2 linked regions of the Xenopus tropicalis genome follow. The protein of the gene in region 1 interacts with the protein of each later gene in a pairwise test. Links are inferred from orthologs where the notes say so. Each region holds a gene or a part of one and is shown in the gene's direction. Other genes may lie near its edges.

Evidence for each region.
Region 2: the proteins of cpsf7 (region 1) and snrnp25 interact in binary tests that used the Homo sapiens proteins (3 or more experiments, as listed by UniProt). The two-hybrid records come from large-scale screens. The link is inferred for Xenopus tropicalis from reciprocal best matches to the Homo sapiens genes CPSF7 and SNRNP25.

Annotation. Positions count from the first base shown.
Region 1 is NC_030680.2:22,867,105-22,870,861, forward strand, and holds the start of cpsf7 (cleavage and polyadenylation specificity factor subunit 7), read left to right. Parts: upstream 1-1,061; 5' UTR 1,062-1,215; coding exon 1,216-1,269; coding exon of another isoform or gene 1,270-1,302; intron 1,303-3,757. Other genes in the region: sdhaf2 (succinate dehydrogenase assembly factor 2, mitochondrial), read right to left, coding at 657-692.
Region 2 is NC_030685.2:40,339,504-40,343,260, reverse strand, and holds the start of snrnp25 (U11/U12 small nuclear ribonucleoprotein 25 kDa protein), read left to right. Parts: upstream 1-1,025; 5' UTR 1,026-1,030; coding exon of another isoform or gene 1,031-1,051; intron 1,052-1,108; exon of another isoform or gene 1,109-1,215; intron 1,216-3,757. Other genes in the region: polr3k (DNA-directed RNA polymerase III subunit RPC10), read right to left, coding at 717-827.

The DNA of each region.
Region 1 (3,757 bases):
AAAGACTGAAATCGCACTGCCGCGTGTGCCATCCCGCCCGCGACTTAATCTCCCCGTGTGCCAGAGCCCTAAAGGCATTTTGGATAGATTAGTCTCCTCTGTAATCAGAGATTTATCGCAGGCGTCTAATCTCTGAGTGGGACTTTAGCCTATGGGCAGTGGTACAGGGGAGATGTGTCGCTGCGATAAATCTTCCCTAGCGACTAACGACTAATCACCCCAAAATGCCATCCCACCCACACGTAGGATGGCATACGTGTAGGAAATCGAACCTACTCTATATCTGGTCCATGGGTGGTAAAGGAATTACCAGCATACAACTTCCTTCACCCTTTGTTGTGACTGTTGGGAGAAAACTTGGAATCCAATAACAACAGACATACGTTCCTGCACTTATGCTGACTAAGAGACTATAGTGCCCCTTTGGGGGATAAACACTTACTTGGCCCTTTTGCTGTGCTACTGAATGCACTATTGCTGAGCTGCTGATAATAACATGGGAGTTCCTATATGTATAACCTTGGTAAAAGCTAGAGGGATCACATGACAGATGGAACCAATAAATCTGACAACTGTGCTGGAGAGGATGCTGGGTGCCGTAGTTTACAGACACATGTGCAAGACAAGGGTAACCCTCTGCCCCCACAGCTTCTCACCGCAGGGGCTCTTCTCAGCATCCCCGCCGCGAACATCCCAATTCCGTACACTTCCGGTGCCCGACCTTCTCTACCGGAACCTGGTCCCTGACGCGAACATCTTGCGGGTCACGGTGTAAGTCACAATTCCGTACACTTCCGGTGCCCGACCTTCTCTACCGGAACCTGGTCCCTGACGCGAACATCTTGCGGGTCACGGTGTAAGTCACAATTCCGTACACTTCCGGTGCCCGACCTTCTCTACCGGAACCTGGTCCCTGACGCGAACATCTTGCGGGTCACGGTGTAAGTCACAATTCCGTACACTTCCGGTGCCCGACCTTCTCTACCGGAAGTGGGTCCCTGACGCGCATCTGAGGCGGCGGAAGTTCCGGTTTGCGCGGGAGTCTGGGAGCAGAGCATATTCCGGAGAGCGGAGGACTATCAGTGGGGGAAGAACAGTGTGGCTGAACGGAACCGGAGCAACCAAAACGGACGCGGAGACAAAGTTGGGGCAGTGGGGAGGGGGGGAAGTGCTATCCGAACTGAGCATCCTCGCTCGGGGGGATCCGGGCCGGGGATGGCGGACGGGGCCGATCTGATTGATATTTACGCCGAGGAGGAGTTCATCCAGGTGGGGGAGACCCGGAGCGGCCCAAAGAGAAATGTACATATATTTATCTCTGTCGTGTCCGTATGTACGCACGTTGGCTGCTGCTTTGGCTACAGGGCTGGACAGATCCCCGCAATCAGCCGTGGGCCCTTCCCCCCAGTGCAGGGTTCTATGTATTTCTATTCCCAGCCTGGTATATAGTGTGTTATGCACCTCAGTATATATATATATATAAAGCCCATTGTCCATCCCTCCCCCTCTGGCTGTGATATATTGATATGCAGTCCCCTGGCTCCTATATATTATGTCTCTCTGTTTATCTCTCTTATCATTAAAATCAATCTGTTTCTCCAACCTTGTCTTGCCTGGCTTTAAATAGCTTTGTTTGTTTAAAGGGGAACTCCACCACAAGTCTATTCAATAATGAAACAAACTGTGATGCTAAGCAGCTTTCCCATTTACATTAATCAACCCTGTTCTATGTTTTTTTTTAAAGTTATCTGCTAATATTATTATAATTGAAAACAAGAGTCTTGTCTTTTTAAATGCTCTGCATTGCTGTTTGGACTCTTTATAATAAATATAGCAGGAGCCAGCTGATTAACAGACCGGGTGGAGAACTTTTCAGAAACAGGGGCAGACTGCAAAAATCTATATACACAACTATAAAGCCAACATTTATAATGACTTTATACTGAAAAGTTTATTTTTTTTAAGAATTATCTTTCTCTTTGTAAAAAATGGTGGAGTTCCCCTTTAAAGGAACAGTAACACCAAAAAATGAAAGTGTATAAAAGTAACTAAAATATAATGTGCTGCTGCCCTGCACTGGTAAAAGTTGTGTGTTTACTTCAGAAAGTCTACTATAATTTATATCAATAAGCTGCTGTGTAACCATGGAGGCAGCCATTCAAAGGAGAAAAGGCACAGGCACATAGCAGATAACAGATAAAACACTATTGTATTCTACGGAGCTTATCTGTTATCTGCTATGTAACCTGTGCCTTTTCTCCTTTTTTCCAGCTTGAATGGTTGCCCCCATGGCTACACAGCAGCTTATTATATAAATTATAGTAGTGTTACTGCAGCAAACACCCCAGTTTTACCAGTGCAGGGCAACAGTGCATTATATTTTTATTACTTTAAAGCTCTTTCATTTTTTGGTGTTACTGTTCCTTTAATATGTATTTAGACCCATGCCGTGCATGTAACCCTTGATTTATTTTTGTCTGAAAACCCTTTATTACAGCTAAGTGTATGGTATTAATAGTAACATATCAAAGCTGTTCCCTTAATTTAGAGCTATTTATATAGTACTCCCCAATGGGATTATACATATTACTGTGCATTGTCATGGCTGACTCGCGCCTTTTGCGCAGCTCTGTGCCTCTGGGTGAGGGATGGATACAGCTGCAAAGTTCTTTTCAGGTCTAGTAACTCATGGTAGCCAATCAGCATGCAGCAACTACTGCTTCACCGCTTGAAAGTGAATCTATGGTTGCTATGGGTTACTAGACCTGAACAAACTTTGCACCTGCAGTTATCTGATGTTTGCCTGTTTGATCACTAGGGGCTTCTCTGGGATCAGTCAAAAATAATGCTTTGTTTTGTCTTGTAGTGATTTGTTTGGAAGGCTTTAACAGCTAACAAAAACAATTTTTTGTTGGATCTACTTTGAGGGGATTCCTGTATTTTAGCTAAATGCAGCCTTAAAGTTATCTATCAGATATGGAATGAGCAGTGGTTCAGCTTTGGGCTTAAGACATTAATATTTAGTACCATGTCCAGACCCTCTGTCCCATACAGAATAAATACTCCATTAAATGGGTAGTGTACCTTTAACATAACATTTTTTTTTTTTATAGAATATCCAATTCTTATCAAGTTTTCGAATGGCCTTCAGTTTTATAGTTTTTTTAATTATTTGTCATCATCTTCTGTCCCTTTCAGCCTTTGAATTGGGTGTCACTGACCCCAGTAGCCAAAAAATATATATTTCAGATCATTGTTCAAACCACTGCCTGGTTGTTAAGGTAACTAGATAGCTGCTGAAATTCAAAACTGTAGAGCCAACCAACAAAAAGTTTAATTAAACAATCACTAAAAATAAGATATGAAGACTAATTGCTAATTTTCTTAGAATATCACCATCTACACTATGCTGAAAGTTAATTTTAAAAGTGTACTACCCCTATCATCTTGCAGTGTCTTATGAAAGCCACTTTGATTACTAAGGAAAATTAAACCTTAGCTACAAGATAGGTGCTGAAATTCCTAACTGAAGAGCTTCTGAATGAAAAGCTAAGAAATTAATAAAAAATATATAGTATCATATAATTGGTATTTTAACTTCATTTATAGATGAACAAGCCCATTCAAATTTCATGTATCTCTATGTAATTGTAACATGAGCCCCGTATTGGTGGATTGCAGTAAAGTCTCCAAAAAAAGCATGATGGGAACCCAATTAAAGTACAATAATTACTCCAGTGCTGTGGATCTATCTACA
Region 2 (3,757 bases), on another chromosome or scaffold:
TGAAGATAGGGTTACAGTATTTCCCCTTAAAGTTTGTCAAATAAGTATCTAGCGGTCAGAACTCCCTATGTATTAATATATATTCAAATGTATTTATTTAGATATTATTTATGAAAGTGTTAGGACACATTTTATAATATATATTTATGATATTAGTGTGCTTTAGCAAGGTAATGCACTTCCACAGGGGAAGTGATTGTGCTGTGGTGTTCTGGGTATTGTGAATTTAGGGTTAAAAGTGTGCCCTTCTATGATGATTTGTTCCCAGAAGGGTAATAGCCAAAAAGGAAGAAAAGCAAGACCTTGGCCACAAACTAGCAAAAATCAGACAAAAAAAAAAATCACAGGTCATATGCGTATATTCAAATGTTCATTTTGGGGGGTGGGGGTAGCAGGTGTATCTATTTACTATGCATTTTATTTAGTATTTATCATAAAACATAAATGATAAGATCACCTTTTTAACTTTGTAAGTCTATTAAACTTACACAATTTAGAGCTAAAAGCCCCAGCCATTACCAGAATATGTTGTTAGCAATTTATACAGATTCATCCCGCACTTAAAAATCAGCGCATTGTACTGTTGCTAATGTAATGTTATCTGCCAATTAGCAATGCTTGGCATACACAAGGCATAAAAAGGCTTCGTAGCCACCAGGACTACACTTACGCCGCTTAAAACCATATTTCTATCACTTCAGAAGACCTCATTATACCTTGCGATTAACGTTGTGCACATAAGGGCAGGTATTACAGGCAAACCTGTAGCACTTCTGTCCCTCCTCCACGATCAGCACATTCCCACACGTCGGGCAAAATAGCAACATTGCTGCTAACAGATTAGCTCAAACTTCGCATCAACCACTTCATCCTCCAGACGCCAGTACCGCTGCCTAAGCAGAATGATCACCACGCGTTTGCCCTAGCCTCGCATTCACCTACATTACATCTTATTGCGCACGTTTCCGCCCGGTGATGACGTCTTTAATGGGCGCCCTAGAAATCTGCGACAGTTCCATTTGTAACTTGAATGAAACGGTGTGAACTAAAGGTGGGTAGTGGAAATTGCGTTGAAAAACTTAACTCGAAATTCTAAATTTCTACATTTAAGTCCAGCTCCCAAAAACTGATAACACGAGAAGAGCAATTTTTGCAAAGCAAAAGCAGAACTAGAAGTCTTGCAGCCATTTAAGTTGAAAAGGAGAAAAGGCACAGGTTTGGATATCATATAACATATATGCTCTGTAATAAAATGCAGTGGTGGTATATTCGTGTTAATCTGGTATCTGCTGTGTATCCTGTGCCTTTCTCCTTTTTTTATCTTGAAGTGCTTCCTCCATGGCTGCATAGAAGCTTGTTTATATAAACTATTTATATTCTTATTTATATACGGCTGATGCCGCATGGAAACCCGCATGCAGATAATCAGTCCCTCCGCTGACAGCCTCCTACCTTGCCTGCACCAGAAACTATTGGGCTGGCCTGGGTGCAGGCACACATGGCAGATATCAGCAAAGAAACTGTAAATTTAGCATTTTAGAGTGGATATTCATATTGTATGCTTGCACCTGGGCCAACGCAGTGGTTTGACCTGGAAAAGTAGGAGGCTGATGCCCAAGGAACTGATTCTTGGCCTGTGGTTTTTCATGTGCTGAGAATCAACCCCACATGGTATAAGCATTACAGTACTTATGTACGAAGCACTGTACAGCAGAGCATCTAATTGATAGAACCAGGGCCACCATCAGAAATCGCGTTCTTATAGTAAAACGGTGGTGTGTATTTCTTTTTCTCAGGCTTTGACCAGTCTCTCCTATATACAGTCCTCCTGTTCAGTATCTAGTGCACTGTATTAAGTACACCATATTGGAAGAAGAACAGTTGTACTGACCATGGATGTTGTATTCCTCTAATGTGTCTGAAATCTGAATTACAGATGTGTGGGCAGGTTTTGCATTGTTTTTTTGCCACAGGGATAAGTTCCTTTTTTGTTGGGTTGAATTAAGGCACTTCTTGTTATTAGTTGTTTTAGGTTTGGGGGCTGCCTGAATGCCAGAAGTGGTGGGTCTGGGAATATGTTTTGGAGCCTCTCATCCTTTTGAGGTGTACACTGTAGATCCTTGGCTATTTTTCTGAGGGTCTTTTGTTGGGGATCGTATGTGACAACTAGAGGAATTCAATTTATTTCTGTTTTTTGTTTGTATTGTAGAAGTTGACTTCTGGGAATCCTGGTGGCTGTATGGATATATTGATCCACAATCCTTGGGTTGTAGCCCCTGTTAATGAAATCTGCCATGAGTGTTCTTAGGTGGTGGTCCCTTTCAGTAGCATCAGAACATATTCGATTATATCGTAGAGCCTGGCTGTAGATTATGGAGTGTTTAGTGTGGTCAGGGTGAAAGCTATCATAAATTAGATATGATGGTTTATCCGTTGGTACAAAGTATAATAATAAATAGAAATTAATACAAGGTACAGTTGCTTTAAAGGGCACCTATCACCCCTATATTGTTAAGGTGCCCTTAAAAGCAACTGTACCTTGTATTCACTACCAGTTCCCAGTTTATGCATGTGCTCCAGAGCTTTCAACCCCAGGAGATTGTCTACTGGGGAACTATTGCAGTGCACTGCTAATAACCTGTGCGTGTGCTATTTGATGTCATTGCAAATACACACAATATGGGGCCCATTTATCAATGTACGATGGTTTACGATTACAAAAAAATGGTATTTTTTCAAACTTTTAGAACTCTGCGTATTTTCTACGATATTTTCGTTTATTTCTGTGACTTGTTCGTACTTTGTGATAATTTGTACGAAAGTTTCGTAATTCATTCAAGCTTCGGTATCGTGACGTTCCTTTGGCCAGGTTGGAGCTGCAGAGTGCCATTGATTCCTATGGGTGGCTTCCAAAAACATGCACTGAAGGTTCAAAGTCACACAAAGATTTTCGCGCCATTTACGATTGTTTGGATATGAAAATTTCGTAACTTTTGGATCGTACCACGATCTATACCACATTCTGAACATTTCCACACATCAGAAATTATCGTTAAGTATACGAATTTTCGCAAATCGTATTTTAACACAATCTAAATTTGTACATTCATAAATGGGCCCATATGTGTGATATTGCAGAATGCTTACTGAACATCCACAGTGAGCATTAGGGAAATATCAAGTGCTATTGGGATATAGCGAGAGACGGCTCTGGTTCTCCAAGAGGTAGTCTTTAGTTCTCTCTTGAAGGAACAGTAATGCCAAAAATGAAAGTGTATTAAAGTATTTAAACTATAATGTACTGTTACCCTGCACAGGTCAAGTTGTGTATTTGCTAAAGTAATGGTACTATAGCTTATATAAATAAGCTGCTGTGTAGCCATGGGGGCAGCCATTCTACCTGGAAAAAAAGAGAAAAGGCACAGGTTACATAGTTACATAGAGTTGAAAAAAGACCAGAGTCCATCAAGTTCAACCCATCCAAGTAAACCCAGCACACACAACCCACACCTACCAATCTATATACTCACATACATAAACTATATATACAACCACTAATACTAACTGTAGATATTAGTATCACAATAGCCTTGGATATTCTGCTTGTTCAAGAACTCATCCAGGCCCCTCTTAAAGGCATTAACAGAATCTGCCATTACCACATCTCTAGGAAGGGCATTCCACAACCTCACTGCCCTCACCGTGAAAAACCACCTACGCTGCTTCAAATGGAAGCTCCGTCCCCTTTAATCTAAAG